4 linked regions of the Ovis aries genome follow. The protein of the gene in region 1 binds, or shares a complex with, the protein of each later gene. Links are inferred from orthologs where the notes say so. Each region holds a gene or a part of one and is shown on either strand. Other genes may lie near its edges. The genes, in order: VPS51, VPS54, VPS52 and STX6.

Region 1 (5,322 bases):
GGAGAGGGTTTTATATGTGCCTGTTAGGTCTATTTGGTTTAAGTGTTGCTTTTCATTTTTAAAATTTTATTTATTTTTAAGTGAAAGGTAAATTGCTTTGCAGTATTGTGCTGGTTTCTGCCATACGTCAACATGCATCAGCTGTAAGTATACATATGTCCTCTCCCTCTTGAGCCTCCCTTCCACCTCCCACACTATCCCACCCCTCTAGATTGCCACGAGCCCCAGTTTAAACTTCCTGAGTAAGTACTGTTTAAGCCTTCTATTTTCTTGCTGTCTTTCTGTCTAACTGTTCGCTCCATTTTTGAAAGTGGGATATGGACATTTCTAACTATTATTGCTGAATTTCTTTTTCTGTCTTTAATTCTACCCAATTTTGCTTTATGTATTCGGGATTCTGTTGTTAGGTCCATAAGTGTTTATATTCGTTAACATCTTAATGAGCTGCCTGTTGTAAAATGTCCTTCTTTCTCTTTAGTAACAATTTTTGTCTTACATATTATTTTGTCTGAATTGGTACTACTATCCCAACTCTCTTCTGGTTACTGTTTGCAAGAAGTATCTCTAGAGTTCTTATGATAAAGACCATAATCCTTATCTTGTCTACAAAGGGCCCTCCTGACGTGGCCCCACAGGCTCCTCCAGGTTCATGTCATGCCTTACTCCCCTTAAAAACAAAAACAAGAAAAAACCTAGCTCGTCATGTTTCCACTCTTACACCAGATCTTCTTGCAGTTTCTCGGGCACTACATCTGCCATCCAGTGTTCAAGCTGAAACTAGGGCATTCTGTTTATTCAAACCTCTTCAACACTATGTCCTGTCAATGGTACCCCTAACACTTCTCAGTTTACTCATCACTGTCCACCTCCACCATCACCATCCTGGAGTAAGCTCCCAGAATCTCTGGTCTGGACTACTGAAATGGCCTCACTCTAACCCCCTCTCCAATCTATTCCTTCCTATGCAGCTAGGAGGTAGAGGGATCTTTTCAAAACAAAAATCGTAACAGCTTGATTAGCTAAGTATGCTTTAGATAAAGGCTGGATTCCTTAACGTGCTCTGGAAGGTCTCTAGTTGAACTCTATCTGCCTATCCACCTGACTGGCTCTGGCCACAGTCTGCTCTCCCTCCTGCTACAGTAGACAGGCTCCTGGCCTTGTCTTCAGGTGAACCTCTCCACTGTGCACTGCTCAATCCCCTCCTTCTTTCCTGAGGACCTTGCTTCTGTAGTTTCTCCCTCTCTTGCACCACTGATGAGCACTCCATGAGCTAACATATTGGTCAAGCTTATCAATTTCTTAGAATGCCTTTCTTCATTCATCTTCTAAGACACCTAGGGTCCTGGTTGTTCTCAAACTTTCCCAAATGTTTGCTCCTTTGAGAAAGAAGATTTGTGAGAGTTTCCTGCTCTTCGTGACTTCCAAATCTTAGGATGCCCCAAGCTTCAGTCCTCAGACCTCTTCTCTCTGTACACTCCCTCCTTAGATCTCATCTTGTTCCACTTTCATCTCAAGTTCCAGCCTTCTCTGAACTCCAGATCCCTCAACTAACAAACTTTAAAGAATCTTGAGCCATTCTGCTTTCCCACTGCACCCACCCTGGTCCATACAACCAGCATCTTGCCTGGACTGTTAAAACAGCCTTCTAATGGGTGTCTCTACCATCCTTGCCTCCCTATAGTCCACTTTTGACAGGGGATAGAAGGGTCCTTTTAAATCAAAAGCCAGGTCACCCCATCTTCTGTTCATTTCATCTCACTCAGAGTAAAGATAAGATACACTGCAGGTAGACCCATGAGATCTTCCTCTAGGACTAAGTACATGTGGGTCAAAAATTATTACAGAAGTCTGAGCAGTACATTTCCCCAACACAGGACAGAAGCTAGCATGGATGAAAGCTGAACACTGCCTAGCACTGTCTTGAATAGAGAATAAACGGAACAGAAGAGGGTGGGGGGAAGCCTTTACATGATCTTTGTCCCTTAATGACATACATTTTCTGTCTCTTTGCTTCATTTACAAAAAGAGAAAGGAAGAGGAAAAGGGGAAAGAGGAGGGAAGAAAGGAAAGAAGAGAGAAAAGGAAAGAGAGAAATAAGCCCATTCTTGATTCAGACTTGAAACAGAAGAAAGCTACCACTAATGAAAGAAACTGTTACCGAGGCATCCTTAGTGTCAGAGATTCTAAGTGCTTCAGATAAATTCATTTCTTTTTAAAATTTCATTTTGTCTTTTTCTCCCCTTTGGTCCTCAAAACAACCCTCTGAGAACAGTTATTACCTCAATGGTTATCAAACCACAAAAGCTCTAAGAGAGAGAGATGAGAGTGTATTCGCGTCAGGGTAGGACCATAATCTGGGTCTGCTCTGTCTAAACCCTCTGCTGGTTTCCCCAACACTGGAGGAACTGGGGGATGTGGGACGTGAGGATTCGTGTCCCAGTAGGAATCACCTGTCGCTGAGATGAACTTGTTGTAGTTCTCATAGACCAGGGTCTGCATGTCGCTGTCTAGAGCCCGGATCTGCCGCACCATGTCCGTCTCACTGTCCATCAGCTGGGCCAGTGGGCACTCTCTACGCAGCTGGAGGAAATTAGGTGGTTAGTGTCCAGGACAGGGGGCACTCATGTCCCCAACTGGTAGGCTTTTGGTGCAAGAAAGTCCTGGTCTCACCCCTGTCAAGAACTCCAGACAAGGAAACTATGTGGCATAGCTCAAGAGTTCCCAGGGTAGCCCCTATTTTAGGTTTGTCAGCATTTCAAACCCTCAGATTTAGCAAGCCCTGGTCCTTCCTACGCCAGTCAGCGCCTGGGACACGCCCCCTATTTCGGGTCTAACTGAACATCAGCCCAGGAGACCTCAGACTTCACACCACTTCAGGCCAGTTCAAGTCTGCCCACGCCCCCTTATCCTCCAGCTCTGCCCCTACAGCTCCACCCGGGGCTGTCCTGCTTTTATGAACCCTTCCTCCCACACCCCCGCAAAAAGTCGGAGGCATGATCTGGGGCGTAATATATCGGGGCCTGTTCCCCCTCCCCCTACACACACCTTATCCAGGTATACTTCCGGGTCGAAGTGCGCCCCATTGAGATCTGTAGGGTCCAAGGGGTCTGGCCCCGAGGGGCGTCCCGCCGCCTCCCCCTCTGAGAGGCCGTAGTAAAGCTTCAGCATCCCGTGAGCCTTCCGCCGACGCTCTGGAGCCTCCGCCTCGGGTCCTTCCGGGGAGTCCCCAGGTCTAGACCCTGGGCCAGGCGCAGCGGCTGCCGCCGCCATGGCTCCAAGTGCAGCCCACAGGCGTGAGGCTGGGCAGGGGACAGGGAGGAGGCACTTCCGGGAGCCATAAAGTTGTTGTTGAAACGAGGCAGTCCTTCAGGTGAAACGTCCCCCTGCAGCCTCGAGTCCTTCGAGACTAGAGTTCCCCCGCATGCTTTCTCCCCGAGCTCAGAGGTTCCGGGAAAGCCCTGGGTTCCCGCCCCCACGCCCCACCCCCCACCCCCGCACCCCTTCACCCGCCTCTCCAGCTTCTCAGATGGAAGGATTTTGCGAAACTGGTTGGGTCGCTGTCTTCCCGGAAGGAGGACGAGTCGTGGCTTCCACCCTATGTCCCTAGATGCAGGCAGTGGAGGGAGCGCGGGCCAGTGGAGCCAGAAAGCGTGTGCCTGGCATCCTGCCACTGCCTTGTTGAGGGGAGAGGGGGTGGGCAGCAGCTCATTTTCCTTCATTCCTAATATCGGGGTACATATTTAACAAGGAGACTGTGAGGATTAAATGCATATATTCTCGCCTGGAAAACCCCATGGAGCCTGGCGGGCTACAGTCCATGGCGTCTCAAAGACACGACTTAGGGACTAATGGACAACCACAGTGCCTCAAGTGAAGTGTCTCTGATGACCTGGTCCTCTGACGCGCATCAGAATAGCCTTCAGAATTACCTGTGGCGAGTTGTGAAGACTGGGCTCCCCTCAGACCTAGCTTCTTTTTTTTAAGTCTTTAAGTAATTCTGATGCACTTACATTTGAGAACTCCTGTTATACCCTGAGAAGACACACTTGGTAGATCTTAACTCACTGATAAGGCTTCCCTGGTGGTTCAGTGGTAAAGAATCTGCCTGCAATGCAGGAGACCTGGGTTCCATCCCTGGGCTGGGAAGATGCCCTGGAGAAGGGAATGGCAGATCACTCCAGTATTCTTGCCTAGGAAATCCCATGGACAGAGGAACCTGGCCAGGCTACAGCGCATGCACTACGGAAAGACCAACTTTGTTTCTCCAAGTGACTGTTGAAATGCTCTGCCTAGAGGGGTTAGGCGGAGGTGTTGAAGCTAATTCTCAGGTTTCTGGTTGGGACAAATGCACAGCTGTTCACTGAAGTAAAGAACTGAAGGTAAGGAAAGACTTGTGAGTTCAAATTGAGACACACGGAGTTTGAGTGGATGAAAAAGGAGAAAAAGACTTTGTCAGTGTGGTCTTTGAAACATATTATGGGTTGGGGGTCCGGGGTGGAATGGAAACCACTTTATTTATTCTTTGGCAGGCAAAACCATTTACTATCTTGTTTTTCACAGAAAGTTTGTTGACCCCTAAATCTATGGGATATTCAGAGACTGTCTAAAATATATATATATGAAGATTTCAGCTTATGAAGCTATAATCTTAAGAAAAATGAAGACAAAAGTATAAAGATTTAGATCTACTCCAGGAAATCTATAAACTTAAAAAAAAATCACAGAATACTGTTATGAAAAATTATCCAACAGTTGGAATAAAGACAGTGTAGCATGACCTTCCAATACCATACTGGGGCATTGTTTCACAAGCCCACCCAAAGACTATTTAATTACCCACAGGAGTGTACATTTGTTTGATCTTGCTATTTAGATAGTGTTGGAGAGATGTGAAACATCTCCAGTGAAAATATCCAGTGGAAAAATAACCTCTAAATTTTGTTTTTATTGCCCTGTAGGACATCAACCAATCTTGTATCTAGTAATCATGTCCTAACACTCTTCTTCAAATGCCTATCAATACCTAGTGCCTCATCATGCATTACACATGAGTGAGGGGGAACCCCTTCACTGACGAGTTAATGTATCTTAGTTGTGTTTATTCAAGTATATTTTTAACTTTTTAAAATATTTATTTGGCTGTGCCTGGTATTAGCTGTGGCATGTAGGATCTAGTTCCCTGACCAGGGAACGAACCCGGGCCACCTGCATTGGGAGTACGGTGTCTTAGCCACTGGACCACCAGGGAAGTCCCATGTTAACTTTTAAAAAAAAAATTATATTTTAACAATATGTGTGGCATAATTTTTTTAAGTTATGCAT
Region 2 (5,382 bases), on another chromosome or scaffold:
CAAAGGACCTAAAGTTTAATCTTACCCACCAAACAGCACCCAATGAGAATATTTTCCCATCTGGTGGAAGTCAGGAACATTAGCTCAGGCCCTTACCAGAATCATGCAAACCACAGGATTAGAACATTACTGATATTTAGGGTCAGATAATTCTTTGTTGTATGTCAGGAGGTTGTGGGGGAGGCAGGGTAGAATAGGATATATCTTGCACATTATAAGATATTTAGCAACATCCCTGGCTAGAGGCCAACACCACCCAACCCTCAGCTGTGACAATGAAAAATGTCTTTGGACATTTCCAAATATCCCTCGGAGGGCAAAACTGCCCCTCTTTGAGTACCACCAATTTAAAAGTTAGGGTCCTAGGTCTTGAAAAAGGAGGCCTCCAACCAGCCCTGTATAATTTTTTTTAATTGTTTCTAAAACGTGGATTTTTAAAAAATTAAGACAGTAACAGTACAAAAAGATACCTAAATAATATATATGCCATCCTCCTTTAGCTTAAAGCATTTTATAGGATTTTGTAATATGAATCACATGTATCGTCCCCTTCCTCCCTCCATCCCAAAGATGGGGAAATGTCCAGTTCTCTCACTACTCTGCTAGTAAAATGTCAAATACATACATCCATATATATGTACATACTTATATACACATAAGATCTTAACAGTTCTAACTTGCAAATCCCCATTTCTTGCTTTACATGGTAACACTGTGGTTCTTAAGTCATGTGTCCTAGAGATTCAAGCTTCCACTCAGATTTCCTCATCTGGTTCCTGCCATCTATTTGTGAAGGAAGTAGGAAGTAAGCAGATGACCTTTAAGATCTTTTCAACTCAACATCCAATGGCAAAAACACTCCTTCAACTTTTACTTACTGACTCCCAGCTGACTAAACCACCTCCTCAGATCACTGAAGTCATTCATGCTAACTTTTTTCTTTCTCCAGTAGTAATCTATGATGAATACAACCAAACAGGATGTCAACCATTTAAAATACCACTTTTTAATACCAGTGATCAGTTGATTATTGCCTGACTCAAACTATTTTAAACATGGATATTAATTTTAAAAGAAAAATTTTTCAGGGAGTAATACTGTATACATGAGTGAACCATAACAGGAAAATATTGAGATGGAAAGTAGATTAGTGGTTACCTATGTCTGGGGGTAGGGTGGAATGGGGAGAATGGGGAGTGACTGCTAATGGGCAGAGGTTTCTTTTTGAGGTGATGAAAATGTTCTAAAATTAGATTATGGTAATAGTTGCACAACTATGTAAATAACCTAAAAATGGATGAATTTAACACTTTAAATAAGTGTACTTTACTCAATAAATATTGTAAAAAGCTTAAAGCAGAAAAAGAATTTTAATCAACTCTTATTGATAGGAAAGGAATATGATTAAGAACAAATTCTGCAAAGTTTCCCATTTCAAGAGTTGTGTAAGATTTGATTTTAACTCTGACATAAAAACTTAACACAGAATTAACTTTTCCAGAAAATAAATACAAATTTAATCATCTTTTCCTAATAAACTTTGGATAACTTAAATGCAATGAAAAACATTTCAGAAAGCCAAATGTTAAGGTAACAATACCTCTCTAAGACCAAAATATATTAATATCATCATCAACAACAGAACAGAATACAACCAAACAGGATGTCTTTTTAGTTTTGTTGTAGTGCACCCTTTATAAAGAAAACCATAGAGATATTTTTAATTTCTTTTAAAAGTGATCCTCAAGTTGTAATGTCTGTCCTGATAATGCAATAATTCTAAAATTAACAGAGTATCATTTTAAAATAGCCAAATCACAATAAAATAGCAAACATCTAATCCCTTAGACCATAACTATCAAGCACCCAAAAATTGCACACATTTTTACCAAAACCTATCATAAGCAATGATGACAACTATGAACAATCAAGCAATACCTATTTCTAGGATATCAGAATCTGACTGCAATCAAACAAATCCCATCATTCCATCTTAGAAATTATTAAGGTTCTCATGCTACTTTTCCAAATAGAACACTTCATCAGGTATAAAAGTCAACCTTAATGTCCGTCAAAATCTGCAATTTAAGTTACCACAATAACATTTCTCAGTACACTATCATGACATCACTTGCCTTTTTAAAGCATTTACTATTAAGACTGCTCTGGGGTTTGACAAATCAGACACAGAACCAATTAAAAACAAAACCCAAAAACATTCCAACTGAATTCTTCGAAAGTAAAGAGAGCCTAAATAAAGACCAAAATTAACCTAGTTAATGGGGAACTCTTAAAAACAAACTGCAACCCGGGTCAGCCAAAATTCTAAAAATACCATCCCAAACTCAGCACACGGACAGACCAAGTGTTAATTATAATGGGCTGGCAAAAGTTCCCCTGTCAACGACAGGAGGGCAGGTAAGGCCTGCCTTTGCATCAGTGCAGAGACGGAAAGATGTATAACTGAAGAAAATTAACTACTGAACAAAATGATTGGGAGCTAAACTGCCAAACTGCAAAACATCGAGTTAATTTCTGGGCTGGCCATCTCCAGGAAGAAAAATGACTTTTTAAATTTAAATTATTCCAGTAGGATCAAAAAGCGGCTTAAGGGCCCGGCCAGAAAAAGAAAGGGAAAGTTTGGAGGCAGCGTCTAAGGAGGATGGTGGAAGTTCCACAGCCGAAATCCCAAGAGGGGCGAGAGGGGAGAGAGAGGCGAGAGCGGCGTCGCAGCCGCGGGCTAGGGGCGAAGAGTACAGCTGCCAGCCCGGATCCCGGCGGGAGAGTGAGAAAGAAGAGGAGGAGGTGGTGGCCGGGAGGAATGGAAGCTTCGGCGCTGGTCAGTTGTGACCGAAACTCCGCCGGCTTGGGCCTGGGAGGAGACAGAGGGGGTGGGGTCTCGGTCCTCCCTCCACGGGAAGTCGGGGCGAGGGTGGGCCGCGAAGCGCTGGGGGCCGCGTGGGGCCGGCCCGACACCTACCTGCGGGTCCCGGGCAGCCGCCCCAGAGCGAGGCCTAGTGCATCGCCGCCGCTTCCAAGCCTCCACGTCGCGCCGAGGCTGCTGCTCCGCGGCCGCCGCCGCCCGGAGCCCGGCTGGGCCCGAGCCCGGCTTCCCGCCCCCGCCCCGCGCCGGCTGGCCCGTCGGCCGGGGGAGCACAGGGCCGCCCTCTCGAGCCCAGCTCCGCTCGGGGGTGAGAGGCGGCAGCGGCGGCTCCCTCACGTCTCTCCCGGGTGTCCTGTCAGCCAGCAGTTTCCCCCGGGTCCGCAGCGCCGCCTCCGCCGCTGCTGCCACCGCCTCTCCCACATCCCCGGCCTCCAGAGGAGCCGCCGCCGCCGCCGCCGCCGCCGCCGCCGCGCCGCGACCACTACCCCTAGCGATTCTGCTCCCTGCTCTACTGCTTCTCCTCACCCCGCCCGCCCGCCTCGGTCTGGCTAGGTCCGGGGAGACAGTGCCGGAGGCCGCCGCGAGGCCGCCGCAGCCCCCAGCCCACAATCCACCGCGCGGCTCCACCGGGGCGGGAGGCCGCGGCCCGGGCCGGGGGGAGCGCTTGCCGTCTCGGGAGAGGGCCGGGCCTGGAGCGGGCGCCGCCGGCGTTACCCCGGAGCGGGGAATACCCCGCGCGGCTGCTCAGCGCCTCCTCTAATCTCTAATAACTCCCCAGGCAGAGACAGAAACCCACGCTGAACTCGATTTTTCCCTACGACCCCTCCCCCACCCCCAGGTGCTCTCGGCTGCAGCCCGGTGCCGCTTGCCGCCTTCCCGGGTCGGTATGCGACCCCTCAGGGTGGCCCTCGCCCAACCCCTAGACCAACCGACACCAAACATCCCTCAATCACCCAGCACCTATTAAAGTAGATACTTCCACAACATTCCACTTGTCCTTTCACCCCTTGAAAGTGAAGGCTATTCAGAGTATCCCAGTTAAGTGTCCTTTGAAAGGTTTAAGGTCACCCCCTCCCCAGCAATCCACTGGACTCTGGAAACAGTGCACTCCCTATGGAGGCCTTCTCCCACCAAATCCCAAGTTTTCCCAAGTTCCAGGCCTTCCTCTCAGGCACCTATCACACTTCTCTAGCCGTGGAATCAGTTCTTCCTGCTCTTTGACTGAAATACTTGAAGAGTGTGTGTGTGTGTGTGTGTGTGTGTGTGTGTGTGTGTATTATTAATACCTCCTCACTATGATTCTCAACAGTAATCCAATTTAGCCTGGTTTCCGAGGGCTGGTGACCTTAATCCAGTTAATAGAATCCACAAGAAAGAGAATGTGTTAGGATACATTTTAAGAGAGAGAAAAGGGCCTTTTGAATGCTTAGTTTATCACGTAGTGTGTTTCATGTGTTTTATCAAATCAAAAGTGAAAATGTAACTCTTACCGTTGGAGATTGAAAAAATAAAGTTTCCAATTTCACTTATAAGAAGTCATTTTGAAAACTGCAAACATAACTCTTTGTGAAATAGTATTTTACCCACTAAAGAGCTAAAGTTGGGGGAAGGGAAAGACAATAGAGAAGAAAGCAACAAAAATAATTGAGAGGAAATTCTTACTTTATATTGTTCTAAATTCAATTCTCTACAATTTTGTAATGAGAACAGTAATCTCCAACATTAACTAAATTTAACTATAAAAATAATAAAGAAATCCTCCTAAGTCCTGGATAAAACCAGATGAGTTTACATTACACACATTACATACATTACACAGGAAAGACACCAAATTTCACCAAAGGCCAGAGAGGAAAATAATTCACTTTAAATCTAGAATCAGTTCATAGATTATACTATAAAATGGATGCAACAAGTTCCTATATTTTGAAACCACATCAGGAAACCAACAGTAGTTCAAAAGCTGCCTTATACCCAGTGGTTTGGCCTTTTAAAAAATATTTGCACTTATACCCGACCTTGCTCTGAAAAAGATTCCAGGTTGCCATAGTTGGCACTTGGGTTAGAGAATAGCTATGAAGTATCTCTCAGACACTAGCACAAGACAGACAGGTTTGCCTTCCTCATCATCCATTTGTAGATAACAAACCATAGGAAGAAAATACATGTTGAGTATTGCACTTAGTTCTTTCAGGGATCCAGCATGATTTTATTTTTACTAATCCACAGAACAGTTCATAATCATGAATCTAAATCTAAAACTAAATGCTGATAATCAGGTTTGCCAAAAACATAACAAAAAACTATTAACTGGCTAAGGAATTTAATTTAGAAGTAGGTATATTTCAGATTAATATGTTCACTTGTTATCCCTTAAATCATTGCAGTATTGAAAAGACACAAGGGACCAAGAGACTCAGGTTTGATCCTTGGGTTGGGAGATCCCCTGGACTAGGAAATGGCAACCTACTTCAGTATTTGTGCCTGGAGAATTCTAT
Region 3 (4,199 bases), on another chromosome or scaffold:
GGGCAGGAATCAGGTCAGCGTGAGGACATCTGGGTCCCCGTGGAGTGGTGGGGGCGAGGAACAGGAAAGGAAGGTGGGGGTCGGAAGGTTCCCGGGTCGCAGCTCGCGGTACCCCCTTCGGAGCACCACCGCCCAGAGCGCGGCGGGCCTCAGGGAAGGTCTGCGGGGGAGTCAGGGTGGGCAAAGCCCGGAGAACGCCAGAGGAGGCGAGGGTGGCGGGGACGCGGGGTGCGGTCATTAAGGCCTCTCCCCTGCACCCCCGCCATCCCTCCGGGCTCCTCAGACCATCCGAGGCCAAAGCTCCGAGGTGCGGGTCCCGAGGCTGGTCCGCGCGCCGCTCTTAGAGCCGGGAAAAGGCGCGAGCGGGAGAGGCGGCTGGCGCGGCCGCTCTCCGGCCCTAACCCTGCGAAGCGCGGGCCTCGCCCCCAGCCCCGGCGCGGAGCAGACGGCGCGCCGCTTTGCACCCTGATTCTCCCCGCCTCCGCGTGCGGGCTGGGCCAGCATCCAGAGGGCCCAAGCAGCCACTGGGGGAACGAGAAGGTCGGGGGTGGGGGGACGTCCCCGAGTTACCATGTCCCCCCGACGGCACTGGCCCTCCCCCTCCGCATTTCCAGGCACCCCCAAGTCTCCTCGGTCTAGAGTCTGAGTTCAAACGGGACCAGGACCGTAAGGCGGCAGCAGCAGGAAGGGGCCGAGACACAGGAAGGGATGAGATGGCCACACTGCAGACCTGGCCTGCTCACGGCCCAGCGCAATGGCAACTGCAGCCCCCTAGCAAGGGCTGTGACGGTCGCACCGGAGGAGCTAGGGAGCTGACCCTCAAGGAGAGAAGGCAATCCCAGCGTCAACCTGGGGAGGCCAGAGGCAAGGAGAGCCGGTGTCTGCCTTAGAGGAGCCGAGGCGGCCGGCATCTGCCGTTTTCACCAGGGTCACTTCCTCAGCCAGGTTGGTTACTCCTGAAACAGTTCCCGCCCTAAAACCAATGCAGCCACTTTGGCCTGAAGGAGCTGCAGGTTAGAGGTAACCACGGCCCCGAGTTTCTGGACACCCACCAGAAAGGGATGCAGGCCCAGGAGGCAGAGAGCAAAGGTGATCCTGGGGCAGAGACGGGGCTACTTGAAGGACCTCCTCTCCCAGGAGGAGGAGAAAAGAAATGGGAAAAGAGTGTTGTATCATATTAAGTATTTATTGTTTTCTGCACACTGACCTTGATGTAACTCTGAAGCCAGGAGGCGACTGATTAGTGTTCAAGTTGCTGAGATCTTAGGTCAAAAAGCTACAGAAAATAAATCACTGAGTGGAAGGGAAAAAAAAGTCAACCGTTATGAGACAGTCTTCCCTTGCCACAACAATTCCAAGAGTCGAGGCGTCACACCTCATGCCACGATGACAAGAGCTGAGTGAACCAGAAGGTTTTACTGGGAGAAGAAAAAGGCCTTGGGGGTGGGGCAGTGGGAGGAAAGAGCGGAATGACAACACTGGAAAGATAACGGAGGTTAGTTTGGAAGCCCAGGAGCGAGTGGTCCTGGGAAACTTGGACATGAGACATGCCCAAAGCCAAGGGGATCCGGCTTATCCTGACGAAGCACAGTCCCAGGAATGAAGGCAGAGTGAGGCCTGTGAGAGCCTAGGAGGCAAAGGGGCACTGGCAGGGAGCCCCGGGTGAAAAGGGGGATAGGATGGGGCTCAGAAGTCCATGGAGAGGGCTGGTGGCCCCCAGGGCCCGGCGCCTCAGAAGTTGGGCTTGTGCTTCTTGAGTTCCACCATGAGGTGATGGATGTTGATGAGCTCAGCCCGGGCAGGGAGGGCTCGCAGCTGTGGCTGAGACAGCACCCGGTGGAAGCGATGATAGAGCTGGATCAGCTGGGTCAAAGCTCCCTGCTCAGAGAAAGTCACGGAGGGATGAGATGCAGGGTGATTCTAAGGATGATGATAGCCGTCAGCTTAGGGCTCGGCCAGAACTTTGGGCACAGCTGGTAGTTGAAGATCAAGGGTCACTTGTATGATTCCGAGCCCCGAGAAAAGAGGAGGGCAAACCAGTGATGGGGCGGGGTGCGAATGGGGACCGGGAGTCACAGGTTACCTGGATGATGCTGGTTCCATTTCTGAAGTTGGTGAAGCTCCGCATCACATCCTGACTCAGAGACTCCACCGATGATTTCCAGGAACTGCCGAAGCCACGGATCAGCTGAGTAACCCGGGCTGAGAGGAGGAGGAAAAAGATCATGGCTAAGTGATGTCTGATCCCGCTAGGTCCTCACCCTGCAACCCCGTTCTGGTGTTCGCCCTCCCCATGTAATCTGCATCCTTGCAGTTTTCTTTTCCCATCCTCTTTCCCCTCACCCCACCCCATCCACCCCATCCTCAGACCTTCTTCCCCTCGGAGTCGCTCCGCTTGTCCTCGCTCAATCAAAGCTTCGGCTTCCTTTACAAATGCCACCAGGCCCCCAAAGGGGGGAGACAGCAACTCTTCAATGAATTCCTGTAGGAACACACACACACACACACAGAGCTCAGATTCCGGGGGGGGGGGGGGGGGGGCAGACTTTTCCCAATTCTGGCACCATGACCAACTAGGTCCTTAGAACACTCCCATAACAACAGCGAACCTCTAGAAAGGTCATATACTTTAAGACACTGTCGGTCTCACAAGACGTAGGGGAAATCTCCTCCCTTCTCAAAATAAATAAATAAGCCACAAAACCTTTGTTTAAATTTAAAAAAGTGAGCTGGGAGCAGAGGGCCAGAACCAGAGAAGTGGGCCCTGAGCGCCTGGGAGAGGCAGGGCTACAAAAAAGTAAGTGGTCACGGCAGCTCTGCTATCAGGAAGCTGAGCTGATGCAGGCCTTGAGTGGAGATGCTGAGCTTGGTCTCATGAGAGCCTCTCAGAGGTGCCAGTGTAGACCCAGGTGGATGGCAACTTTCAGCTATTACAAAAGCAGAGGCAAGCCTTCTCTGAAACCTCCCTGATCCCCATTTAGGCCCCGATGACTACCCCTGATTGAGACCAAGAAAAGAGCCCGAAGATACCCAGTCACAGAAGCAAGCAAGCTACGACGAGTCAGAATAGACAGTAAGCAGTGGACTTAGACCTCCGAAGACTGCCAGTGTTAAAACTGTCACACACAGAGCAGCTGCATATTCTGTATGCAATGTTCAAAGAAGTTAAAGACGCCACACAAACGTGACCTACTACCAAGATCAGAAACAGACTTGAAACAAAATGGGATTTAAAAGAAATGATTTAGAAAAAAACATTAAAAAAAATTTTTTTTTTTTATGTCAGCTGGCTAAACAGCAGACTGGATGTACCTGGAAAAATGACTGAGCAAACTGGAATTTACAATTGAAGAAATGACTCAAAATGCAGCACAGATAAGGAGATGGAAATTTTTGAGACATTGAGAGATTTAGAAATCTAATGGTCTGGGTGGTGATCACTGATGGCCACTGGCAAAAAGAAAGCCAAGAAGACATTAAGTGCCCTGAGAGAAGTACACACCACTACTTCTCAAACAGCCTTGTAAAAAAAATCTACCTGGAATCTGATCAAGCGTTTCCATTGAATCACACATTTATGGGAAAAGAGGAATAGCTTAGGCATGCTATGCAAGGCAGGCAGCAAAATCCAGACTGTACGGCATTCTACGTGACAAATGACTCCATTTCTTGTACAAATAAACTGCATGGAGGAGACAGGGAGGAGATAGAAGGGAAATCTATAGATTAAAAAGAGACATACGGGGACTTCCCTGGTGGTCCAGTGGTTAAGACTCCACAGTCCTAATGCAGGGGGCCCAGGTTTGATCCCTGGTCAGGGAACTAGATCCCACACGCCGCAACTAAGACCCGGCACAGCCAAATAAACAGAAAAAAGAGAGGCACGTATGGACTGTATATGGATCCTGACTTGAACCACTGTTTATAAGTGGGGATACATGAATACTAGCTACTTTCTTTTTTTTTTCCAGGCCACCTCAAGTGAAAGCCCCAAGTCCTATCTTTTTTTAAAAGTGTGATAAAGTATTGTGGTTTAAAAAACATATCCTGACACAGATGAAGTGATAGTGGTGTACAGAATTTAATTCAAAATCACTGAGGGTTGGGGGACGGATGGGAGGATGAACAACAGGTTTTGATACAGATGAAACAATTGTCCTGTCATTGGCTGAAGATGTGTGACGGCGCCTGGGGGCTCA
Region 4 (4,684 bases), on another chromosome or scaffold:
TACTTTAGGAGTGCTAAGAGAGATTGTTCTTAAGGAAAAACGAATCCAGATGTTTTTCTTGTGCTTTTTTCTAGAAGACTTTTTCACTGTAGGAGAAGATTTTTTTTATTAGTTGGAATTAAACTTGTACTCCCCCCCCATAAAATCAAAATTTAAGATACAGAGCAAAAAGTTCCATTTAATACAGCAGGAAGGGCATGCAATGATGAAGTTAAGTTAGCCCATGTCCTATCCTCTTTGGGACAAAAAACCTCCGTGGAGCTTACACAGCCCTAACAGTTTCACATTCCTATTCACAGCAACACTTGAAGTCAGCTGTTCAGAGGAATTGGTACCTCTTTTGCAGATGTTTAATAACTTTGCCTAAACCTTCTTGAAAATTGTATCTGACGGATTTGCCTTTTTTGGAGAGGTTAATCTGTAAAACAGAGTGAAGATGCAGCTAGAAACAAAACAGCTTTCGGCTTTACTAGCCATGTAATCGGCAGGCTCTTCAGGGGTCTCCTAAGATGGCGCTTTCCTTCACCTCTGCGGCGAGAGGGGCATCCCAGTACTCACACGGCCTGCTCCTCCAGCTCCCCTCCGATGCGCTGGGACATGTTCTTCAGCACTCCGATGCTGCCAGAGACCAGCTCCAACTGCTCATCCTGCTGTTCCACGATCAGCTGGTGCCAGAGAAATGGGAAATAAGCAATTAAAATCCATCTTACCTGGTTCCAAGCCCAGCACTCGAGCAGCTGCTAGCTTCTTTGCCAACTCGGGACAATTCACATTCAGAAGCAAAGCCCAGAAATCAAAGGACCAGACCGTCCGCCTCAGAGAACACGCTGCTCAAAAGGCTGGGCTGTCAAGCTACTGATATCCCCTGCTGATCCAACTTGTGAAACAGTCAGCGGGGCTTGAAACCACCCAGAGAGATTTACCCTGGTTGGCTGAAGTCCAGCAAGGGACAGACAATGGCCAAAAGCACCTGTGCAGTGACCACGGACACGTGGGGATGCTGGGGAAGAGGAAGCCCGCTGCCAGGATCAGGGTCTCAGTTGGCAGCAGCTGGCCACAACGCAACTGCAAGAGAAAGTCTGACAGGTCTCTGGACATGGGAAAACTACACACACAGAGTCCTTTGCTCCCTCCTCAAGGACACGTGAGAGGAGGCTCTGCGGCAGTAAGCTACCTTGCAGGCAACTTCTGAGCACAAGTTACTTTTAATTGGCTGCAGTAGCCTCACTTTTCATTGAAAAAAAAAAAAAGTTCGCTTGGTTAATGGCAATTTAAGTAGACAAATGGTTAAGCTGATGTACTAATGGAAAAAGATCAACACGTATATATAAAACAGAGTATTTAAGAACTAATAGTTTTGATGGGGTGGTAATGCTCAAATCCCCAGACACTTTACTATTAGCTCCCTTTAATTAATACAAATCAAAAGCAACCACACAAACGTAATCAACCTTTCCTTCTACCCCTTAACCTCCACCAAGCAATGATTTTTACGTCTAATGGAACCAACAACCATTTTCAATGAAAAAACAAGGACTCAATTTTTCTCAAAGTGCCTTTGTTGAAATGAACAAAAAGCTGAGTACAGAAGTGGAGGCTGGGGAAGAAGCTGCTATGCTTTTAAATCAATGGCCTTCTCTGTCAGTTGCGGGTGTCTGGTCTGCTTGTCCTAAGAGGTCTAATCAAGCTTGGTTCTCTTGAAACTGTCATGCTCTGAAGGGTGTCTTAAACACCCTTTATGTAAGCCACCTTCACACAGGTAGACTCCGGCAGCTGTGGGGCTAGCTCTGGCCCCTCCTGCCTGTCATTAGCAACAGGGCCCTGGCTGGCAGAGCAGTGGGGAGGGTGGTGCTTGGCCTCCCACCTCCCCGTCCTGCACTCAGGTACCTGCTGCTGTGCCTGCTGCTCCTCGATGAAATGGGAGTTGGCCAACTGAAGCTCCCGGTCGAGGCGCCCATATTTATCCGACGTTCCAGCGCTCCAGTTCTGTCCGCCACTGTCTCCTAGCAGGGCCTGTGAAAGTGGGGCCAGGGGCAGCAGGGCAGGAGGGACAAACCATTACTCTCACTAAACAAGGGTCCCATCACCATGATATGAAGAGTCCTCCCACTGCTCATGAGCTGTCTTTCCAGGGATCAGCTTTTTATGGACTGGTGCAGGTTGGTGCCTGCGGAGTACAAATCAGAGAATGCCATGAAGGGCACTTTCTATTGACTCACAAAAGAGCTCTGTCCCATTAAAAATGCAAGTGAGAGTCAACTTTAAAGCAATCTTAAAGCCCCTCTGTGCACTGCTTTGTGGATCGTAAAGCACTTGTTCTCATAGGACCAGTTCTTCCTAGCACCCTTGGAATTTCACTGGAGACCTTTTGAAGGTCCTAGTCTAACTAATTCCAGACATCTAGAGTCCCTTCTATTTAAGTATGAGCAAGGAAAATTTTTGGTGTTCAGAGGAGGGAGGAGATAGTTCCCTAAAGTGACAAGAAACTAAGTCATAGTCCCTCATGCAGGGAAGGCACAAGAACCACCAGTGTCTGCTCAGTGTGACCCACAGATGAATCCCAATGCCCTTCAGCTGAACTAAAAGGCTAGAGGCTTCCCAGATGGATTAGGGGTTGCTTCAGAAGAGAGCACGGCCACAGTGGGGGCCTGACCCTGATAACCCAAGCAAGGGTTGGCCCTGATGTCAGGGTTGGCTCCACCTGGGCCCCCAGACACCAGGGCTGGGTTTCCTAGTATGAATTTGAGGAATTCTGTAGTCAGAAAAGATTAAGTTTGGGAATGTTTTCCTTCACTGAAGAGGCCAGCCAGGAATGCAAGCTGACCCTGCCTGGGATCCCCACAAGCCTTTTTAACCAAAGAACTGGACCAAGCTAGTGACGAGGATTCTTCTATCTTGTAGAGCTGCCAAAACTTCTTACCAGGTACCTTTAGCTCTGGAACTGTTAAAAGTCTAACTGATTCCTTGGTTCTCTGTCTGCAAAGCCCCTCAATAGCCACACTAGCCTTGCCTGACTTTCAGACATGAATTTGGCCAAATGGCCACATTTCAGAGGCTACATTCAGGAAAGTTCAGGATGTATGTTGAGTTCTGAGGCAGATATGAGAAGAGGACCAGGATGCCTGAGAACTTCCACAGCCCAGAGCCTTAGTCAAGAGTCTGGATGGTGACTGTCTCTGGTGTAGAACAGACATAAGGTTCTGGGGGGATGCTTCTGCCCCATCTGGTCATGGAGCTGTTAAGATTGAAAGGATCCTGCTCGTTTTGATGCAAAGACTCTAATGAGTCTATGGTGGATACTGGGGCCTAGTAACAATTTTTTCAAGGTCAGAAAAAGTCTACAGTGCATCATTAGGCTATGGATAGAGAACCAGAGCTCCTGGGGTCACAGTCATGGCTATTTTTTCCTAGCTTATCCATGGTCTACACTTGGGTAGGCATATGGCATGCTGTTAAGAGTCACCCGTGAAGCTGTCGAGATCCCCTTGGTCTGACCTCCAGGAGTTGGTTAGTGAGAAAGAAGATGGAGAGAGGGCCCAGAGCACTGGGGACCAGCCCAAGTATAGCTGCCAAAGCAGGAGGCCTTGGCTTTGTGAGGATCAGCCCAGCACCCGGTGCTGGAAGCAGCCGTGAGGTGGACTCTGTCCACCTTCCATTCCTTGAATGCCTGTGACTCGAAGACATTTTGTTGTAGTGTAGTTGCTAAGTTGTGTCTGACTCTTGCAACCCCATGGACTAGCCCACGAGGCTCCTCTGTCCATGGGATTTCCCAGGCAAGAATACTGGAGTGGGTTACCATTTCCTATTCCAGGGGATCTTCCCGTCCCAGGGATCAAACCCAAGTCTCCTGCACTGGCAGGTGAATTCTTTACCACTAAGCCACCTGGGAAGCCCGAAGATATTTCACTCATCGCCTGAAACAAAATTCCCAGCCACAGTCAGGAAGCCTCTGCATAAATCTGCGTTTTATTTATGTTAGTTCACTGGCTTTTCCAAGAGTCAGCGCCAGATGGGATGGCTAGCTAACATCTTTTCCTGTCTGCACTGTTGGGTGGATGGGGAAAAAAAACAACAGTGACTTGGAAAGTGGCATGTGGGGAAAGAAAACAGGAAAATTAAGCTAGAAGATATTTAGAGAATCCTCTTCCCTTTAAGTGGGTCAAGAAATACCTAGAGGTATAAAGTGAAGAGTGTATCATAAACTACTGATTCCTAGTTAATTAAAAATGGTGAGCTGTTCTTCAATTATCAGCCGACTAAATTCAAGGACTGAGTCTCTTGTAGCTTTTATTTTTGATGTGTCAGTATCTGGGCTTTGGTTTCTGAAATTTATTAGGTTTCATAATTTATTTGTAATAACTTACAAAAGCTGGACCTCACATCAAAAAAGAAATAAAAAGATACATGAAACAGTGAAAGATTCAACACATATTTAAGTTTCTTCAACTACTTTATGTAAAGTTTCAGTCATTAAATATCTAGAGCATCCTACACATGGGCAGCTAGAAATCTAAAAAGAACAGAAGAGAAACACCATGACACAATCCCTCCCTACTCACAAAGAAGCTTGAGGTCCAGCAGAGAAAATGACAAGCAAGCAAGCAATTACGGCTCTTAACAAAGCTCCTGGCACACAGAACGTGCTCCACAGGTGCAGAATAAATGGTTTGCGGCAAGGGCTATG

Evidence for each region.
Region 2: VPS51 (region 1) and VPS54 share a complex: the UniProt entries of both Homo sapiens proteins name them as parts of the golgi-associated retrograde protein (GARP) complex. The link is inferred for Ovis aries from reciprocal best matches to the Homo sapiens genes VPS51 and VPS54.
Region 3: VPS51 (region 1) and VPS52 share a complex: the UniProt entries of both Homo sapiens proteins name them as parts of the endosome-associated retrograde protein (EARP) complex. The link is inferred for Ovis aries from reciprocal best matches to the Homo sapiens genes VPS51 and VPS52.
Region 4: the proteins of VPS51 (region 1) and STX6 are in contact, whole or in part, in a crystal structure (PDB 4J2C), measured with the Homo sapiens proteins. The link is inferred for Ovis aries from reciprocal best matches to the Homo sapiens genes VPS51 and STX6. Residues at the interface, in NP_037397.2 of Homo sapiens: Ala33, His34, Met36, Leu37, Leu39, Tyr40, Tyr41, Gly42, Leu43; in NP_005810.1 of Homo sapiens: Met3, Glu4, Asp5, Pro6, Phe7, Val9, Val10, Glu13, Trp59, Asp60, Asp63, Leu64, Glu66, Thr67, Ile70, Val71, Phe78, Arg88.

Annotation. Positions count from the first base shown.
Region 1 is NC_056074.1:39,753,405-39,758,726, reverse strand, and holds the start of VPS51 (vacuolar protein sorting-associated protein 51 homolog), read right to left. Parts: upstream 3,313-5,322; 5' UTR 3,271-3,312; coding exon 3,046-3,270; intron 2,581-3,045; coding exon 2,451-2,580; intron 1-2,450. UniProt on the Homo sapiens protein: Acts as a component of the GARP complex that is involved in retrograde transport from early and late endosomes to the trans-Golgi network (TGN).
Region 2 is NC_056056.1:44,279,704-44,285,085, reverse strand, and holds the start of VPS54 (vacuolar protein sorting-associated protein 54), read right to left. Parts: upstream 3,108-5,382; 5' UTR 2,981-3,107; intron 1-2,980. UniProt on the Homo sapiens protein: Acts as a component of the GARP complex that is involved in retrograde transport from early and late endosomes to the trans-Golgi network (TGN).
Region 3 is NC_056073.1:7,582,370-7,586,568, forward strand, and holds the end of VPS52 (vacuolar protein sorting-associated protein 52 homolog), read right to left. Parts: intron 2,483-4,199; coding exon 2,371-2,482; intron 2,203-2,370; coding exon 2,084-2,202; intron 1,879-2,083; coding exon 1,732-1,878; 3' UTR 1,168-1,731; downstream 1-1,167. UniProt on the Homo sapiens protein: Acts as a component of the GARP complex that is involved in retrograde transport from early and late endosomes to the trans-Golgi network (TGN).
Region 4 is NC_056065.1:61,503,398-61,508,081, forward strand, and holds part of STX6 (syntaxin-6), read right to left. Parts: intron 2,014-4,684; coding exon 1,888-2,013; intron 666-1,887; coding exon 559-665; intron 1-558. UniProt on the Homo sapiens protein: SNARE promoting movement of transport vesicles to target membranes. Targets endosomes to the trans-Golgi network, and may therefore function in retrograde trafficking.